5 linked regions of the Macaca fascicularis genome follow. The protein of the gene in region 4 interacts with the protein of the main gene of each other region in a biochemical or structural test. Links are inferred from orthologs where the notes say so. Each region holds a gene or a part of one and is shown on either strand. Other genes may lie near its edges.

Region 1 (4,204 bases), on a different chromosome or scaffold from region 4:
GCATCAAGCAAGTCTCCTACCTCAGCCTCCCAAAGCTCTGGGGGCAGAAGCCACTGTGCTCAGCAGAGGTGGATTTCTAATGAGGGATAAAGCATATTTTTACTTGTTAGGGATTGTTTCATGCCTTGATCTCTGTCCGTCTGCCGAGTTCCAAAGAGAAATAACAGAGATGTTCTCATTCCCAGCAATTGTTTTTCCTTCCTTGGATTTCTGCCCTGAGTTTGTGGCTGCTTTCCTACAGTGCCGATCTAAGCTAGGTTAAATAGAAATTTCATGGTAAAACAAAGGAGATTAAAAAAAAAATAGAAATTTCAAGAATGCTTCAAAATCTAAAGCGCAGAGTACTTTGCACACAGGGCATTTATTCCTGCCACACCTTGCTGCTACAGGTGGCCACTATTAGAATGCGATGTTCCATCCAATGTCTCTTCACAATTTGAAAACTTTTTTTTGTAGAGGCAGGGTTTTGTTATCTTGCCCAAGTTAGTCTCCAACTGCTGGCCCAAAGTGATCTTGCCTTGGCCTCCCAGCAGCCACCTGCCTGGTTTTCGTTTCATACATCATTATTGATAGCAGTCCTATGCGCTTGGTAATACATCACGGAGCAAAACAGACAATAAAACGGCCATTGAGGATTTCATATACACACACACAAACACACACACTATATAGAGAGAGAGGATGTGGAAAAAAAATAAATATATATAGAGAGAGACTCATTCTGTCACCCAGGCTGGAGTGCAGTGGTGTGATCTTGGCTCACTGCCGTCTCGACTCAGGTGATCCTCCCATCTCAGCCTCCAAGTAATTGGGACGACAGGCACGCGCCAGGACCGGCTAATTTTTTTGTAGAGGCGGGGTTTCGCCATGTTGGCCAGGCTGGTCCCGAACAACTGGGCTCAAGTGATCCGTCCGCCTTGGCCTCCCAACTTGCTGGGATTACAAGCGTGAGCTACCGTGCCCAGTCTCTAGTGACTACATTCTTGCCCTGTTTAGCCATTATGTCTCTCTACTCACAACAGTTTTATAATGAAACTTTGCCTTACCATTTGCATGAGTCGGCCTCAGCTTGTCATTATATATAAAGTTTAAATATGATTGGACTCTATCCAGGGCCCAGTTTTCCAGAAATTAGAAACAGATATGCCTAAGACCCAGAGGGTTATTACTCAAATCTGAAACGTTGACTCAAAACTTCCCCTAATGCCCACCTTTGGCAAACAGTGCTTAAACCTTTGCACGTGGCTGCAAAAAGTACCTGGCTGGGGACGCGTAGCTCTGGCGGGGCACTCTGCCTCCAAGCCAAAAGGGGGCAGTGGACTCACAGAGCCGCTGCTCGGCCCTCTGATCCCTCCACCTCACCCTGGGAACGTCACGACCTCCTCTCGCCGCTTCTCCCCGTCGCTAATGCGCAGGCGCTGGCGTGATAGCGCGCCGCCGAGCCAAGAAAGGGGTCACGAACTCTGACCCTCCCAAATACCCAAACACAGAAAGCTCCCTCCGCCGTGAATCTCGATCCCCCCTCCCGTGGGCTTCCTTCAACCTCTCTTTCCGGAGCGCCCCCCAATCCAGCAGTGGCAACCGCGGGACTGTCGCGTCGGCGCCCGACGCCGGAGTCAGCGGGGCGCAAAAGCGCCGGTAAGAAGCGCTGGGTGGGGACACCAGCGACCGCGTCGGGGGCGGGGGACGGGGGGTGCCCTTCACCCCAACGGCCAACGGACGCGCTCCCAGGGCATCCTGCGGCCAGCGGGGCCGTTCAGTTTGGGCGCGCCGCTTTGGGCTGCTGGAGTTGGGCTGGGAGCGCGGAGCGGCGGCGCCGAATGCTCTGGGTCCCCGGAGAGGCGGGGCGGCGGGACGCGGGGCCGGACGCCGAGCGGCTCGGAGCACACAACTGCCTCTCCCAGTGCGCTCATCGCAGCGCCTCTGACCTTTAACCTGCAGGGAAAGCTTCCGCGGTGCCGCAGTTTCCCCCGCCCCGGGGAGCCGCGCGCAGCGTCGGGGCCTCGAAGGCGCACGGCTAACGCCGGAACGAGTGAGTCCCGGGAGAGGCCGACCCCCGGCTAGTGGCCGCAGGTCCCGGCCTGCATCCCCTGCCTAACTCTCATGCTTTCACGGGACGGACAGAATGACGCCCTCCACTTTCACTTTTCTCTCACGACAAATCGGGCCAGGGTCGTCGCTGCCTGTGGACCTGGATCTTTTCAGAAGATACGGAACGGCCCCGGGGTCCTCACTGTAGGGGACATGTCCAAGCTTCCGATAGATAGCTCTTTTGTTAAGAAATTCTTCTTTCAGCTCGTGCAGATACCATTTTTGTGCAGTATGAATGTTGCCAAGTTGTCCCATAATCTTCAGTAAGTAGGTCAGTCTTTAAAAAAGTAACCGGAAAGCAAAAGCAAAAGACCTAAAATTAAGGCCTTTAGGGTTTAATACCTCTAGACGTTGTAAATAGACCTTCAATTTTGAGGTTTTTTGAACCATTTCTGCTGTGTGGTTGGTGATACTCGATTTTTTTTTTTTTTTTTTGGAGAGGGAGTCTCTCTCTGTCACCCAGGCTGGAGTGCCGTGGCGCGATCTCCGCTTGCTACAACCTCCACCTCCCGGGTTCAAGCGATTCTCCTGTCTCAGCCTCCTGAGTAGCTGGGACTACAGGCAGGAGCCACCACACCCAGCTAATTTTTTTTTTTTTTTTTTTTTTTTTTTTTTGATAGAGATGGGGTTTCACCATGTTGGCCAGTATGGTCTCGATATTCTGACCTCGTGAGCCACCCACCTCGGCCTTCCAAAGTGCTGGGATTACAGGCGTGAGCCACCGCGCCCGGTCGATGATTGTTTTTAAACTGCTTTAAGTCCAGTTAGTAAATCTGAAAAAGCGATGTGTATTTCTATCATTAAAAGTGGGTCGTGGCTGGGCGCGGTGTCTCACACCTGTAATCCCAGCACTTTGGGAGGCCTAGGCGGGCGGATCATCTGAGGTCAGGAGTCCGAGACCAGCCTGACCAACATGGAGAAACCCCGTTTGTAGTAAAAATACAAAATGAGCCGGGCGTGGTGACGCACGCCTGTGATCCCATCATCTCCAGAGGCCGAGGCAGGAGAATCGCTTGAACCTGGGAGGCGGAGGTTGCTGTGAGCAGAGATCGCGCCATTGCACTCCAGCCTGGGCAACAAGAGCGAAACTCCATCTCAAAAAAGAAAAAAAGTGGGTCGCATGGAATGTTGCTAATCTTAGTCTTTCAAGGGGCATGTTAGTGTCTTCTAGGAAGGGTTTTTTTTTTGTTTGTTTTATAGAAATGGTGGAGGGCCTCATTTTGTTGTCCAGACTGGTCTCTGGTCTCAAGCTGTCCTCCTGCCTCAGCCTGTTGAGTAGCTGGAATTACAGGCACTGCATCCTAAGGAGGGATTTTGAGGGAGCAAACATCCCCAAAATATCTACCATCTGGGTGTCTGCCACACAGTGTATAATCTCTACTCTTGGGGAATAAAAACAAAACAGCATACAATAAATAATAGGATAAATATAATTCGTTGCCTTTTTTCAGTCACAAGACCATCTGCAGCCTCTTAAAGTCTTTTATGAACTGTCTCTAGAAAAATGTACCTTTAGATAAAATTTACATACAATATTAGGAGTTAACAAATCTTTTTCTGAATCCTAGTTAACAACCTTAGTCTACACAATAAATGCTAGACCCTTGAAGAAAGACTAGGTGAAAAACTATGAACCAAATTTTTTTTTTTTTTTTCCCCAGACGGAGTTTTGCTCTTGTTTCCCAAGCTGGAGTGCAATGGTACGATCTCGGCTGACTGCAACCTCCGCCTCCTAGATTCAAGCGATTCTCTTGCCTCAGCCTCCCATGTAGCTGTTACCACAGGCACCATCCACCACACCCGGCTAAATTCTTGTATTTTTGGTAGAGATGGGGTTTCACCATGTTGGCCGGGCTGGTCTTGAACTCTTGACCTCAGGTGATCCACATGCCTTGGCCTCCTAAAGTGCTGGGATTACAGGCAGGAGCCCTGGCTTGAACCAAATCTTAAAGGTCAGGTGGGATTTAAATGAGGGAGAAAGTAGGAATATGTTGGGGAATAAAGCACATGATAGTTTGACCTGAAGAGGCCCCCTCTTGAGAGTGACAGGAAATGAGAATGGGGGAAGTCGGATTATAAAAGAACTCTCCCTTGTGTTCACAGTGCCAGACAC
Region 2 (3,951 bases), on a different chromosome or scaffold from region 4:
GCTTCCCACCTCTGGCACCCTACCTTCGCTGAGCTCCAGGGAAAAGAGGAGAGGGCAGCTTTCTGCAGTCAGAGGAAGGGTACATTTTCTTTGGCCTCTCTACCCTCTAAAGCAGGACGGCCCGCTGAAGGAGGACGCACTTCTGAGGGGCCCAGAGCTTTTCCAAGTTTTCCCCTGCCCCCTGAAGACTGTGCACTGAGCTGGGCGCAGTTGTCGGAAACTGTTTGCACCCAGATTGCTGGGGGTCGGGGGTCGGGTGCGGGCAGAGCCGAGAGGCTGTCCAAGTCTGAGAGAGAGAAAAGTTTCTCCCAGGACTCGACCTTGGCCTCCAGCAATCGCGACAGCTAAAAAGGGACCTCTCGCTTCGACAACAGATCTCGCGGACCTTCTGGCACCTGGTTCACCAGGACCCTCGAACTCTGCCTCGGGAGACTTCTTGAAATCCGGATGCTCAAGCCGGGAGGCGCGCAGTAGCCAGAAGGATGAGAGGCCCGGGTTTGGACTAGGAAAGCGGCCTTTTGAAACAGATGTCAGGGGCTACTGGGAATGCAGCCCAGAGCCATGAGAAAAAAGTTAAAGGCGAGATGACACACACTGAATTGGGGCAAACATTGGAAGAGGGGACAAAACTGCGTGCTTGAGCACCGGGGTGCGGGGGAGGGGGGACAAAACTCGTATCCAATGGAAATTAAAGTCTTGGGAGGAGGTGGGGGCTCCTGCGCGCCCTTCACCCTCAGTTCCCCTATTAAGGATTCCGCGTCCCCTGCACGCCTGTCTTCTAGCTCCTTCCTTCCTCTCCGCTCGGCCGGTGAGCGGCGGCCGCCAGCGCCCCAGCAGCAGCTAGATGTCAGGCGAAGCCCGGAGCGCGGAGCGCGGGGAAGGGAGGGGAAGGGAGGGGAGGGGAAAGGAGAGGTGGGGCGGGGAGCGCGCGCGGGCTCGGCCAGTGCGGGGTGGTGGGCGGGCTGAGCCCGAGGACGGCGCGGGAGGGGGGAGGGAAGGGGGGCAGCTGTGGGCAGGGAGCCGGGCTCGGCCGCCAGCACTAAAGATGGAGAGGCGCCGGGGCCTTGCAGGGGAGGGGGCTCGGCGTTGACGTGGGACGCGGCGGAGGCGCAGCAGCCGGTGGTGATTTGCTAACCTCGCAGCAGAGAGGAGTTGAGGGCGATGAGAGCGGGTACTGCGAACTGCCGGGCGATGCTGTCGCTGCCGCCTTGATACGGAGAGCAACAGTTCCCCAGCAACACCCCTCCCCGACACAGGCACACACCCCCCGACAGGCACGCACACCCACCCCACAGTGCCCGGCTCGGCTGCGGTGAGTGAGGGGCCGGGAAGAGGCGCACCGCCGAGCGAGCGCCGCGCGCCGGGGCTCCCCGGGGCTGGAGAGGTCTGGGGGGCGCGCGCTCGCTTCGGCCACTCGGCCGCTGGGCTTGTGCCTTTTTTATTTGGCGTGTTCCCTTCCTGCCGCTGCAGCCGTCGCCGCAACCGGTTGGGGGTCGGCTAGAAGGGGGAGCCCCGGCTGTCAGCCTGGGCACAGCTGCCTCCCCAGCCCTTCCTCTCCAGGGCACGGTCGGGGTGAGAGGTGGGGGGCGTAGCGGTCTGCGGGGGCTGAGGGCGTGAGCAGAGGGTCGGGGATCCGGAGGCTTTGTACCGCCAGGGGCCAGCGGAGGAACAGAGCCCGTGGGTGCTCTTATGTATGCGGACCGGTGCGCGGGCGCGAGATAGGGTTGTGGTTTATTTATTTGTGTGTCTATTCGCCGGCCGGCTGGGAAGCTAGAATCGGAGGAGCTGACGAGTAGATCTGGGGGCGGAGGGGAACAGGACTGGGACTGCTTACGTTTTGTTTCTGTTTGAAAAAACGTGGTGGGCTTTTTATTGATTGGACTTGATCCCCCCCTTTTGCAGGGGAGGGAGGGAAGCTCCAGAGGGTCTCCAGCGCTCCGGGCCCTCCTCGGCTCTCGACGGGACCGGCGGTGACACCGGAGCTCGCCGTGCGCTCCCGGCCGCTCTCGGTGGGTGCGGGTCTCTGCACCTGATGCGTTCGGGATGCCTTTCCCACCCTGGCGCGCCCGCCGCTAGCTCGCACAGCGCCTCGCACACGCCCGCACGCGCTTGAAATGCGCAGGGTCCCGCCGGCCCACGGACCCACTGGGACGCACGGAGCGCTCCGCACCGACTCGCTCGCCGCCTCCGCGAGACGCTCGCACGGTGCTTCGGACGGGCGCGCCGGCCGCTGGCGCCGCTGGCCAGAGGCCGGGGACCCAGCCGGTCGCTTCCCGGGGGTCACGGCCCTGGGTCGGAGAGGGAGGGCGGGCAGACCCCTTCTCGCCTTTCCTCCTACAACTCGTTTGCGGGGCTTTTGTGCTTCCCCTTCGCCGCGGGGCGGGTCCGCCTCCCTGCTGCTCTCCCCGCGGAGTCCAGCCCGCCCGGACTGTCGCCTTTTTTCCCAGTCTCTTTCGCTTTCCCTCGTCCCTAGCCCAGCTCTTCATCTTTCAGGCGTCTAGCTCCTCGGGAAAAGTTGCTTCCCCAAGTTTGCTGAAGTCGTCTCCAAGTCTCGGTGGGGGGTCGCTGGGAACTGGAGGCGTGTGAGAGCACGGTCGATCCCCGGAGCTCAGGCGGGTTCTCGCCGGTTCTTCCCCGCGCCGCCCGGCTGGACGCTGCAGCCAGCGCCGGCCGAATCGCGGGCGCCGAGCGGCGGGTGGGGAAGACGGCTGCCCGTGGGCGCCCCGATTTCCCTCAGGACCCAAAGGGCTTGTTTTGGGGCGCCAAGCTTCCATTCTTTTGGCTGTTCCCTCCTAGTTCTCAGAAGCCCCGATGTCTGCGGGAAAGCACGCGGTGGCCAGGCTCTGCTGAATGTTCATCCCACCCTTGACGGCCTCCGTCCCCACCCCGGGGTAGGCAACAAAAGTGTCTTGACCAGCCGTCCTGTGAATCCTTTCTGCGTGAGCTTGGTGGCTCCTGAACTGATAGAGCTTCTTTTGGGGGTGGAGGCAAGCAAGCAGTGTTCGAAGAGTGAGGGAGAGACCTTGCTGTTCCTTGCTCTCAGTGCATTCACTGCAATATTGGTCGCTGCAAGGCAGACACGGGGAGGGCCCTGGGCCTGCGCGGTCTTTCTAACACTCGTTAAGCGGGGTTTGGAGTCTAGGAGCCCTCTTATTGATCCCGAACAGGCTCTGGGAGAGGCCTTTGTTTCCCAGCCCTGTCTTCCCTTCGTACTGGTTGTAACTCACACCACAGATGCTGGTGCCAATATCACTTCCAGCGCCTCTGAGCCATGTCCGGCATCCCTTGCTGCCCCTGGTCACAGGACTTGCAGACTCCTTGGAGCCTGTGGGACACACGTGGAGTTCACACACCCAGCCCAGCATAAGCGCTCCTGGCTGTAGGGGAGCATATTTACTGTGGTCTCTCTCCATACCTTAATGATCCATCCTTCTTCGTTTTTTAGATCCTCCTGTCCACCGGCCAGTTGTGGGCAGGACGGTAGGTACGGCCCCTTATATAAGTGTGTGTGTGTGTGTATGTAAAGACACACACACACGCTTTTTTTTTTTTCTGAGACGGAGTTTTGCTGTTGTTGCCCAGGCTGGAGCGCAATGGCACAATCTCGGCTCACCGCAACCTCCGCCTCCCGGGTTCAAGTGATTCTCCTGCCTCAGCCTCGCTAGTAGCTGGGATTACAGGCGGGTGCCACCGCGCCTGGCTAATTTTGTATGTTTTGTAGAGACGGGGCTTCTCCACGTTGGTCAGGCTGGTCTCGAACTCCCGACCCCAGGTGATCCGCCTGCCTGGGCCTCCCAAAGTGCTGGGATTAGAGGCGTGAGACACTACACCCTGCCCCACACACTCTTTCTGTCTCTGGCTGGTGTACATACACACAGTGCAGATTTTAGATTATACATACAATAACTTTGAGGCTTCCATGGGTAGAAATGACCTAAGTTTGTGTGTGGG
Region 3 (4,095 bases), on a different chromosome or scaffold from region 4:
CTCCATCCTCTTCTGGGCCCCAAGGAGCCCCCACCACCCACCTCCTATAGCTCTCCCCCTCCAGGAGCCCTCTGTCTCCCGCTAAATTCCAGGACTGCCAGCTGCTATGCTCAGGCCCCACCTCACAGATTTCCCCCACGGCCGCTGTGCGAGGTTGGTCTCCTGAGGCCAGGTTTTCATTCTCTTTCAGTTCAACCTTTTCCTCCTCTTGCTCTGACAAGTCCACGACCACCTTTTGCGCGTCCTTCTCTCCTGGCACCTTGACTGCAGCCACCCAGAGGCACAAGTCAGAGAGTAACGAAGTCCTCTCTGAGAAACCTCCCCTTAATCTCCAAAATATCTTCCCTGAAATCCCTGGGGAAAGGCTGAAGGAGCAGAACCCAGGGCCTGCTATGTGGCTGAAGCCTCTCTGGATTTGGGCGGCAGAAGGGCCCAGGCAGGGAGATAAGACTTGTGTGACCCCCGCCCGCCAGAAGCCTGGACCTCCACTCACTCTGGATTCCTTTGGCCCCAAGCTGAATGCGAGCAAACTCGGTGATCACAGCACATCTGGTGGGAGACAGAGGACTAGCTCATACCCCGCCCCCGCCATCCACACTGACCCACTAGCCGATGCCAGGCTGACCTCTGACCCCTGCTCACGTCAGGTCCCGATTGAATTCCTGCACCGGGTTATAAAAGACCTCGTTGGCGCTGGGAAAGGCGATTTTGGCAGCCCCCTCGGTGATTGTCGTCTCCTGGACTTCACGTGGGCATTCTTCTCCGCAGGGCCCGGTGCCGTTCTCCATCGCTGCTGGATTCGGCAGCCCTGGGGACTGCCCCTCGAAAAACCGGGCTGTACAGAGCACACGGGTGGGGCGGAGAGTGAGGCTTAGCCACAGAACGATCCTTGCATGAGACATCCGCTGGTGCCTCTGTCCGCCAAGCCTGGTTCGGGGGGCGGGGAAAGGCACAGAGAGGGTCAGAGAGCCGCATTCTGGGCCCGGGGGTGTCCTACATATCTATGAAGTAGAAACTAGGAAGACCTGCGGCCTCGGTAAGCTGATAACCCCTTGTTTTGGGGATGACTGGTTCCTGCGGAGCCGATGCCCTCGTGCAGGCCCGCCCTGAGTCCGAATCCCTTCCCGCACTGCCCAGCCCCTCCTCACCTGGTCTCGTAGCCACAGAAAACCGAATTAGTCAAGGTGCACGTTTCCCAAATTAGGACCTGGGCGCCGCCATGTTGGCACGGTGGGTGGGGGAAATCACATGATAGTGGTTGGCCAATCAATGAGGACGTGGACGGTGGGCGGCCGGGATCAAAATGAATGCCATAAAGGAAGCGCGCTGATCATGCTGTTCCGGGGGTTTTAATCACAGTGGATCCCCTGGGAGAGGACACGTCACTAGTCCCATTTCACAGATGAGGAAGTTGTGGCTCAGAAAAGGGGCGGTAAGCGGAGAAACCCAACAGCTATTGGTCCTCTTCTGTGTTCTGGGTGCTATATACACATTATTTCAGAGCACTCTGCAGGGATAACTCAGGCTCTGGAGTTGGATTTACTGGGTTTGAATCTCAGTCCCACCACATGCTCGGGGCCGGTTACTCTAGGGCCTTCAGTTTTCTTATCTATTAAATAAGAATCGTGGTTTCTCAGATAGAACAAAGATTAAATGACAGATTCCTGGAAAGTGTGTAAAGAGCCACTCTGACCTTGTAAGCGCTCGGTAAAGTTCTAACCAGTGTACGAAGGCAGGACAGCGAAGTGGTTCCCGGGTACCTGGGTTCCAGTCTTAGCTCGCCCTGCGACTTGTTGTTAACTCTGAACTTAAGTTACCGCTTTTGCAAAAGGGCAGAACTTTTTACCATTTGTTAGTGGGTTGTAGTGAGAAGTAAACGAGTTAGTGCACGTAAAATGCTAACAGAACCTAGCATCCGGTAAGCATCATAAAAGTCTTAGCTGTTATTGTCGCTTTTGAGCCTGCGTTTAAATCCTGGCACCCGCCATCACTTCCTTGCTGTGTGATGATCTTGACCAGCTTTCTTTGTGCCTCCTTTTCTGTCTTTCTTTATTTTCTTTTTTTTTTTTTTTTTTTTTTTGAGACGGAGTCTCGCCCTGGATCATGCAGTGGCATGATCTCGGCTCACTGCAACCACCGCCTCCCGGGTGCAAGCGATTCTCCTGCCTCAGTCTCCCGAGTGACTGGGATTACTAGCGCTTGCCATCACGCCCGGCTAATTTTTGTATTTTTAGTAGAGACAGGGTTTCGCCATATTGGCCAGGCTGGTTTTGAACTCCTGACCTCAGGCGATCCACCCACCTCGGTCTCCCAAAGTGCTGGGAGTACAGGCGTGAGCCACCGCGCCCAGCCGCCTTTATTTTCTCTAGTGTGTAACAGTTCCCACTAAAAAATGTTACTGTGTAGTTTAAACGAGCTAATTCCCATAAAGAACCTAACACGGTGCCTGCTGCAATAAACAGCAGTCATTATTGTTTTTGTTTTACAGGAAACTAAAGTTCGGAAAGGTAGAGCGACTTGCCCAAGGTCGCGGGACTAGAAGGTGGCGGGGTCGGGATTCGAACCACCGAGCTGAGCCGACGTACCGGCGAGGATCCTCCCAGGGGCATAGAGAGGAGACGGAGCCGGTTAGATGGGGCGCGCTCGGAGCTCGGCTGGCCTCGCCTGGAGGGCGGGGCCTGAGGGCGGTGCGCGGGCGGGGCCGGTGCCGCTCCTCCCTGGCCTGGCTGCGGCGGCGGCGCGGCTTGCGCTCGCTCGGCGCTCGGCTGGGGCGGCCTGGCCCACAATGAATGGCCGCCGCGGCTGCCGCTGCTGCTGAGGCGGAGGCCGCGGAGGCCGCGGAGGCGGAGGCCGAGGCCCCGGCGCAGGGGGGCGCGCCCCGGGCCCAGGCCCGGCCCCAGCCGCCGCTGCGGAGCCCGCCGGGAGCCCCCGGAGCTCGGCCACGGCGCAGGTGAGGCGGCCCGCCTCAGGCCCGGTTCCGGCCTTCTCCAGCCGGGGCGGCCCGAGGGCTGAGTGGGGAGGGCCTGGGTGCTTTCTCGGACTGAGGAGGAGCCGGGCCCGCAGCCTGCACTGTGCCCGGGCAGGCGTGTGTGTGCAGGCCCGGCTACCGCGGGCAGACTTGAGCGTCCAGCCCGAACCTCGGGGCTTGGGGGCGGCAGGATCGTACCTGGACCGCTCCCCCAGCTCCCAGCGAGGGAGGGGGCCAGGTCGGGCCGGGGCGGGTACCGGGGATCCAGGGAAGTTAGAGGGTCCGAAGCGGAAAAGTGAGGAGGCGCCCGTGGATGCCGGAGGGGGAGGGGGAGGAGGAGTCGGGCTCTGGCCAGGCCGAGTGGGGGAGGAGAGGAGAGCGGCGCGGCCGGAGGGGGGCGGGGAGGGGCCGGGCCTGCAGGTACCGCCTGGGCGCTGGAGGAGGTGGGTGGGTCAAGTTACAGGCCTGGGGGCGGCTGAGGAGAAGCCCAGGAAGTGGGGCACGGTGGGTGTGGGCGGAGTTAGTTCGGGTGGGGGCGGATAGGAGATCCCAGAGATGTTTTCCGGGGGTCACATGAGGTCAGGACTCAGATGTGGGGAGGGGGAGGCTAGATCTGGGGGCGATTAGGTAAGGCGAGGGACTGCTGTAGGAGCTTTGCGAGTCGGGGGAGCAGAGCCTTTGGGCTAGGCTGGGGGGATGTGGGGGCAGGTCAGGAAAAGCTAGTGTGACCAGCAGGTATATACTGAGATGCGCCCCCCATCGACCCCAACTCGAAGTGTTAGTTCAGAGTCACATCTAAGGGGTTCCCTCATTCCCACACCTCATCCCAGAAGCCTCTAGAGTCCTGACCCTACCCCTTGGGCAAGCCTCTGCCAACTGTTCAAAGGCGCTGGCCAGTGGGTGTTTGTGTGGGCAGCTGGAGACAGTCTGGAACACCTAGCTTAGGCATCTTGTTTATCACAAGGTGGCCCTCGCCCACCCCCACCTTATATATCTACAGGGAGGCAGCCCAGCAGACATTACCTGAGTATTTTAGGATCCTGCGTTCTTTCTCTACCTTTTGTGGCCAGAAGCTGGTGGTTCAAGCCTAGTGGATGGGACCTCATAGCCACCGTCATATATATTAG
Region 4 (3,512 bases):
TTGCTCCTAAGTGAGAAGGCTGGACTTTCTGTTCTGTAGGAACAGCCTGAGTGTAAGTGTTTGTCAGGAGAAGCGTTTCTTCATGTCCCCACGGGCCACTCATGTGTCTTTTGGAAAATATCTCTTCAGATCCTTTGCCCACTTTTATATGGGCTGCTTTGGGTTTTGCTGGTGAGTTGCTGGAGTTCCCTGCATATTCTGGATACTCTTCCCTTGTCGGATGAATAACTTGCACATTTCCCCCTTCCGCAGGTCGTCTCTTCACTCTGGTGATTTTTTTCCTTTGCTGTGCAGAAGCTTTTTAGTTGAGCAGAGTCCCGGTTGTCTGTTTTCGTTTTTGTTGCCTGTGCTTTTGAGGCCTTAGTCGTAAATCTTCCACAGTAGGCAAGAGGCAGAATCAACCTCAGTGTCCTTCAGTGGATGAACAGTCAGAGAAAATGTGGTGCTGTACACAGTGGAGTACTATGCAGCCATCAAAAAGGATGGAATCCTGACATTTGCAGCAACACAGATGGAACTAGAGGCCTTCATGTTAAGTGAACTAAGCCAGGGACAGAAAGACAAACATCGCATTTTCTTATTCATCTGGGGTAGCTAAAAAAGTTGCTGTCGTGGAGGTAGAGAGTATAATGGAATCTGTTTATTCATTGTTAATGTTAGTTTCTGGCAAGGGGATTTCTATCTGCCAAACCCCACTAACTAGCGTGATTACAACATTTATTCATTCTCTGTTTGCCCATTCATTCAGCAGACATTCCTTGAGTAGCTACTGTGTAGGGGTTATAGTGGTGATAAACTATTGTCCTTTTTAGCAAAACACATTGATTCTACAAGCAAAAAGATGTTAAATATCACAGTAGTTCAAGTCCTTGGAGACTGTTGCTGCTGACCCTTCCTGTGTGGCCTTCTAATCTGTACTCCTGGCTTATGTTTGCTTTATCCAAGCCCATTCTTTAAAAGTTACATGACCTATAACCTGTTTTTCTAACTTAATGTATCATAAACAAGTGTCCAAGTAATCACCCAAGATTGTTCCTAACCCCCAGAGTGTCCTGATGTGCAATGCCCCTCCATTCTGTTAACACCGAGGTGCTGGGGAAGCCACATTGCTCTGCCCTGCCTGCTGGGTGCTCAGCCCCACAGCCGAGGCTTCATTGGCATCAGGCCTTCTCCTTATTTCTTAACGTTGCATCCCAAGAGTGGAGCTCTAGGATCAAAGGTTAGACTGATTTTGAAGGCGTTTGCCATAGACTGCCATATTGTCCTGCAGAAAGGATGCCACTAAGTGATTTGCAGCGCTCTCAACAGCGTTTGCGGTTCCTCTAGGCCAAGGTGGTATTATCATTTTTCAAAAATGTTTGCCAATTTTTGGGGTTTCAAAATACGTTTCCAGATGACCATAATGTGTTTTCCTGAACGTCTTCCGCTTCCTGAGCTCTGCCGTCACTGGTCTTCACCGCATGCTTTTCTCACTGTTAGTTGTTTGATTCGCAGGCGCTCTGTGCTGACCCTCACCTGCCTCATACGTGGTTGGTATTGTTGTCATCATTGCCTGCCTTTCATAGGAGCACTTGTTTTATGATTTTCTTTTTATTTTTAATCTGTGTGGGTACATAATGTATATATTTATGGGGTACGTGAGATGTTTTGATACAGGCCTGCAATGCGTAGTTGTCACGTCATGCAGAGTGTGGGGTGCCCATCCTCTCAAGCATTTATCCTTTGTGTAACAATCCAATCATACCCTTATAGTTATTTTTCAATGTACAATTAAATTGTATTTCCTTTTTGGTTTCTGCTTTTCTTGTTGTCTGGAAAGACATGGCCAACGCCAACTACAAAAAGGCATTGTAAAGTGTATTATCCTAGAAACTGCAAAACGGCATTGGAAACTGTATTATCCTAGATTTCCTTCTGACTAGTCTGTGGTAAATAATCACACTGAATTGAAATCAACACGATGATGCTGGACAAGGTGACAGAAGAACCCGTATCGCGGGGAGGAAACTGGAGCCGTGCATTGGGCTTTCATGTTGTGGTGCGTGTTGAAATCTCATGCTCTCGTTGCTGTATCATTTGCTACGTGTATGTTTGCACTCATAGATCAGAATTCAGTGCAGGCTGCCACAGGTGTTTTCATCGTTGTTTTTCTCGGTGTATATTGCTGATGTTTGGCCGTAACAGACTGTGACAGTCATCATGTGTTCTGTCCCCAGACGAGTTTGGCGCACAGACTTGTGGCGCGAGAAGGCTCGGCCGCTCCACTTCCCCTCTACACGTCGCCGTCCCTGCCCAACATCACGCTGGGCCTGCCTGCCACCGGCCCTGCTGCTGTAAGTCAGCCCCCGTGGGTCCGTGCGGCGTGGGGTGGCGGTGATGGGCCCTTCCACCCCAGCATCGCCGGCTGTGCTTTCCAGGGCACCGCAGGCCAGCAGGATGCCGAGAGACTCACCCTTCCCGCCCTCCAGCAGCGGCTCTCCCTTTTCCCCGGCACCCACCTCACTCCCTACCTGAGCACCTCGCCCTTGGAGCGGGACGGAGGGGCAGCGCACAGCCCTCTTCTGCAGCACATGGTCTTACTGGAGCAGCCGCCGGCACAAGCGCCCCTCGTCACAGGTGAGCACAGATGGGCCTGGGTGCAGCCAGGCTCTGAGGCTACCCGTGCTCTGGACGGTGCCCGGCCCTCGCCTGCCTTTGGAGGAGACGAAGGCATGCCTGTCCCACCCCCACAGTTCCCAAACACACATCCCCCTCACGTCATGTAGCTGCCGTGACTGCAGTGAAAATCCACGCCTCACTCCCAGAGCCAGGTAGATGGAGTGGAAGCGGAAGTCACTTCCCTTTCTCACCTTTTGGGAGAGGCCGCTGGCTCTTGCAGTTTGGGTTTCTGTCTGGACCAAGCTGAGCCAGCACTGGAAGCCCAGAACTGACTCTCGTGGTCAGTTGGTGTTAGCAGAACTTTTACAAATGTGCACTGTCTGGGGGTGTGGTTACATTTAGAAAAATACAATTTAGAGAAAAATGGGAACTTCCTTATGAAATTACATAGCAACAGCAATGTGAAAGTATAACTTCAGAAATGAGGGAGCACCGGCCGGGCGTGGCGACTCACACCTGTAACCCCAGCAGTTTGGGAGGCCGAGGCAGGTGGATCACCTGAGGTCAGGAGTTCAAGACCAGCTGACTAACATGGTGAAACCCTGTCTCTACTAAAAATACAAAAATTAGCTGGGCGTGGTGGTGCACACCTGTAATCCCAGCTACTCGGGAGTCTGAGGCAGGAGAATCGCTTGAAACCGGAAGGCAGAGGTTGCAGTGAGCCAAGATGGTGCCACTGCACTCCAGCCTGGGCGACAGAGCAAGACTCCGTCTCAAAAATAAATAAATAAATAAACAAAGAAACAAATAAATAAATAAACGAGGGAGCCTCTACCTACCCCCTTGCCATGCGGGTCATGATTATACATCTTCACAGCTTTGGGTTTGGCTTCCTGGAAATCTGTTGTTGCCAA
Region 5 (3,512 bases), on a different chromosome or scaffold from region 4:
TACTCGGGAGGCTGAGGCAGGAGAACTGTTTGAACCTGGGAGGCGGAGGTTGCAGTGAGCCAAGACTGTGCCACTGCACTCCTGCCTGGGTGACAAGAGCAAGACTCTGTGTCAAAACAAAACAAAATAAAAATACCAGAAAGTGTAGAAATAAATATTAATAATTTCTCAAATTATCTTTATTTTAATGTCTTCAATCACATTTCGATTGGGCTGCCTTTCATTTACTTAGTGCCGCATTTATCATCTTAGCATTTGACACATTCAGAAATTTACTGAAGTCTTCAGATTCCCCTCAAATTTCACACTATTTTTCTTAATATTTCTAAAAAATATTCAGACTACTATGACCATTCTTTTATGCCACTAAAACTCTACTCTCAGCTGCCAAACTTCATACTTGCTTCTAAAGTTGCCTAATGACAAATAATTGAACTTTGTTAAATCTTTTCTTCTGGGATACATTTAATTTTGGTGTTATTTTCTTGACCTTGTTCACGAGTATTGTCAATAATTGATACGAAGAATACTCATTCCTTTTGTTACTGCAAGCAATATTTGTTTAATAATCTATGCAATTCAGACTTTGCTACTGAAAATTGCATTTCTTCGCCATCATAAAATTCATTTTCTTAAACACCTTGAGTCAAAAATTCATTCATTCTGAATTTCATCTTTTTTTTGCAAAGTTATTTTAAATCCATAAACAATATATTAAAGGACAGCTTATTTTTCATTTTAGCTCTTGAAGTTTTTGAGAAGTTTTACTTACACAGATCCATGGGTGCTTCAGTGCCTCTGAGGCTGTGATACGTTTGGCAGGGTTGATAGTAAGCATTTTATTGATGAGGTCTTTGGCTTCAGGAGTTACCGTGTCCCATTCCGGTGATGGAAACTTCAAAAATATAAATTTATAAAAAGTTTAAAAAATAGACACACTCAATCAAACAGGGAAGAGTCAACTATATGAATCATTTCCTCAAGTAGTGAATTTCTTCATAAATTTACTTTTTATATAAGTTAAATTGTATCTAAAATAAATAAAATCATTTAGATCTATTCTCCCCCTCTATGTAGACAACTATATATATTAAAGAGTATCTGATAAGGGACCAACATATATACTGAGCTGCATATCACATATGGTAAATACATTTTAAAATTCAGAAAAAAAGAACTTAAGAATCTTCTATTCTCAAAGTATCTCTGCTTTGATCTGAACATGAAATTTTATACAATCTTTCTCATAATTATTTGCAAAACTTAATAAAAGCAAAGAGGTTGCTACATGTACCAATGCCATCGTAATATTATGCCAAGGTTCAAAATGAGGTATTATATACTTTCACAACTTATAAGCAGTAATAGCAGAGGTAATAAAACAGCTTCAATTCCTGTGCCAAAACTGACCTATTAATCATGGCTACTTGGAGTGCTGTAGTGAGAAGAATCTGAGGCTATAGGAGCTTCAGCAAGATTTCATTTTAACCCTTCAAGAAGTTTAATCTGCCCAATTACAAATTTCACCAAAGTATATGAAAGTAATCAAATCTTATAACTTCCCATTATTAATATTTTTTTACAATAAGACTATATAAGAAAGCTACTTCTCCTCTCTTCATGTTATTTTTTTGTACTGATAATAAATTACTTTTATATCATTAGCATGTTTAGTAGAAATACTGTCCTTCAATGATTAAGGGAAATTTATACTACATTAGTTGCAAAATGATAGAATATCAAGTTATTTTCCCAATTCATGAATTTGTGTAGACAATCTTGAAAAATAAAGCCATTGTCACTGTGTCAATGGAATTAGTCTATTTTTGGTAGTTTTAAAATGGGGAACTTGTGACTCACTGGCAAAATAAAGCACGAGAAAAATGATATTGACTCTAATACCTGTAATTTCTTGCCAGCTTAACAATTGTCATTTTTTAATTCCTGAAGCTTATGTTTGGCAGTTGTGAAAGCTTGCTAACTGTTAGGAGCTACTAAAGAAACATGCAAGGCTGTTTCTTAAATGTTGTACAGGTCTTTTGATAGCAAATGAGGGGTAGGTTCAGCATGAAGAAAGGTGAACTTTTTCCTCAGTTTTCTAATTTTCATGAAAGCACTCCTCCGGTATACCAAGCAGTGCATTTTCAGGGCTACGTCTGCCCAGAAAGGGGCTGGTTCTAGTCTGTAAAGATGGTGAATGTGCTAGCTGTTGCCATGTAAATAATAATTTGTTTCAATTACTAGTCTAGGGATAATGGAATGCTTCGAAATTCAAAGAATATACATTTTAAATTCTTGCTAACTGAAACACACATCCATCTAAATAGAAAATTTTATCAGAAATGCACTGAAGAGTTCATGAGACATGATAGAATACAATACAGACATTTTATATTTTCTCCTCTCACTTTCACATAAAGCTTTCAACTTGTGCACAAAAGGTGAACCCAATATTGCTACTCCATAGTTACTCCACTTAATGACACATGGAAAGCATGCCCAGATCCTGCACATGGATTTCCCTAGGGCTGTATGAGAGGAAACCAGAGAAAGTGGTAAATCGTATTTACAAGAATACATATCAAAGGAGAGCAAATTATATCATAAACACAAAGTTAAGCCATAAAGAGAAAGTAGATAAAGACTTCCTCTTCAGATTCTGAACTTAATTTATGAATATGTATATATATATCTACTTTCAAATATTCTAATTAAAAATTAAATATATTAGAATTATGATTTTCAAATTTTTCAATTGTGAAACTCATTCTTCAAATGAAAGCTTGCATAGCATCCCATTAGGTAAACAATACAAAAACAAAAAACAAAACCCAGAAACTGGTATAGTGGAATAATGTTCTATTTGATATGTGATCACTGCAAAATATTGTTGGTATATAATGTAAAATTATGTGATAGGTATTTGAGAATATAATTCAACTGAATGGGCAATAATCATTTTTATAGCAGAAATATTTTAATTTTTATGTTTTTAAAATGCACTAAGATCCAAACATTTTGACAAAGTTCTTCCTCAGAGACTTCACATGACTTTTCTTTTTATCTTAGGAGAGAGTGAGTTAAAAGGAAACATAAGCTGAACACATATGCTGCATTTCTTTTTCCCTTTCCTTAAGAGAGAGGGAAATAATAAGAGAAAGTGGTAAAAATTATAGTTAAAAGAAAAATGAAAAGATCTGGCTCTTGATCAGCAAGCAAAAAACAAACCTTCATCTAAAGTGATATAAATAGTTATTACATACATCATAAGCTCCAGCCTTGATCTGCTGATAGAGTCTGTGTTGGTCTTCATCCCAGAAGGGTGGATACCCCACAAGTAGAATATAGAGAATGACACCTGGAGAGATTACAGTATTAACATTATTTAAGTCATATAGAAAACAATAAATTAAATGTGGCTGATCCACAATGATATTAAGCTGTAGTTGTTAAAACAGAGAAAACTGGATTGTAGGAAAACTTCAGAGAGACGTGTTATGGTCTATTCTAGA

Evidence for each region.
Region 1: the proteins of HDAC4 (region 4) and NR2C1 form a complex in vitro, tested with the Homo sapiens proteins (2 studies listed by BioGRID). The link is inferred for Macaca fascicularis from reciprocal best matches to the Homo sapiens genes HDAC4 and NR2C1.
Region 2: the proteins of HDAC4 (region 4) and ZBTB16 form a complex in vitro, tested with the Homo sapiens proteins (2 studies listed by BioGRID). The link is inferred for Macaca fascicularis from reciprocal best matches to the Homo sapiens genes HDAC4 and ZBTB16.
Region 3: the proteins of HDAC4 (region 4) and NACC1 form a complex in vitro, tested with the Homo sapiens proteins (2 studies listed by BioGRID). The link is inferred for Macaca fascicularis from reciprocal best matches to the Homo sapiens genes HDAC4 and NACC1.
Region 5: of the proteins of HDAC4 (region 4) and CAMK2D, one has a biochemical effect on the other in vitro, tested with the Homo sapiens proteins (2 studies listed by BioGRID, with this or other methods). The link is inferred for Macaca fascicularis from reciprocal best matches to the Homo sapiens genes HDAC4 and CAMK2D.

Annotation. Positions count from the first base shown.
Region 1 is NC_088385.1:102,135,080-102,139,283, reverse strand, and holds the start of NR2C1 (nuclear receptor subfamily 2 group C member 1), read left to right. Parts: upstream 1-1,403; 5' UTR 1,404-1,638; exon of another isoform or gene 1,639-1,919; intron 1,920-1,960; exon of another isoform or gene 1,961-2,362; intron 2,363-2,675; exon of another isoform or gene 2,676-3,202; intron 3,203-4,204. UniProt on the Homo sapiens protein: Orphan nuclear receptor. Binds the IR7 element in the promoter of its own gene in an autoregulatory negative feedback mechanism. Primarily repressor of a broad range of genes.
Region 2 is NC_088388.1:112,988,397-112,992,347, forward strand, and holds the start of ZBTB16 (zinc finger and BTB domain-containing protein 16), read left to right. Parts: upstream 1-1,143; 5' UTR 1,144-2,009; exon of another isoform or gene 2,010-2,796; 5' UTR 2,797-2,891; exon of another isoform or gene 2,892-3,951. UniProt on the Homo sapiens protein: Acts as a transcriptional repressor. Transcriptional repression may be mediated through recruitment of histone deacetylases to target promoters. May play a role in myeloid maturation and in the development and/or maintenance of other differentiated tissues.
Region 3 is NC_088393.1:13,519,484-13,523,578, forward strand, and holds the start of NACC1 (nucleus accumbens-associated protein 1), read left to right. Parts: upstream 1-1,294; 5' UTR 1,295-1,402; coding exon 1,403-1,432; intron 1,433-1,721; exon of another isoform or gene 1,722-1,918; intron 1,919-2,488; coding exon 2,489-2,507; exon of another isoform or gene 2,508-2,627; intron 2,628-2,759; exon of another isoform or gene 2,760-2,950; intron 2,951-4,095. Other genes in the region: TRMT1 (tRNA (guanine(26)-N(2))-dimethyltransferase), read right to left, coding at 122-264, 494-549, 643-902. UniProt on the Homo sapiens protein: Functions as a transcriptional repressor. Seems to function as a transcriptional corepressor in neuronal cells through recruitment of HDAC3 and HDAC4. Contributes to tumor progression, and tumor cell proliferation and survival.
Region 4 is NC_088386.1:135,043,444-135,046,955, reverse strand, and holds part of HDAC4 (histone deacetylase 4), read left to right. Parts: intron 1-2,216; coding exon 2,217-2,333; intron 2,334-2,417; coding exon 2,418-2,616; intron 2,617-3,512. UniProt on the Homo sapiens protein: Responsible for the deacetylation of lysine residues on the N-terminal part of the core histones (H2A, H2B, H3 and H4).
Region 5 is NC_088379.1:119,046,654-119,050,165, forward strand, and holds part of CAMK2D (calcium/calmodulin-dependent protein kinase type II subunit delta), read right to left. Parts: intron 3,359-3,512; coding exon 3,264-3,358; intron 896-3,263; coding exon 773-895; intron 1-772. UniProt on the Homo sapiens protein: Calcium/calmodulin-dependent protein kinase involved in the regulation of Ca(2+) homeostatis and excitation-contraction coupling (ECC) in heart by targeting ion channels, transporters and accessory proteins involved in Ca(2+) influx into the myocyte, Ca(2+) release from the sarcoplasmic reticulum (SR), SR Ca(2+) uptake and Na(+) and K(+) channel transport.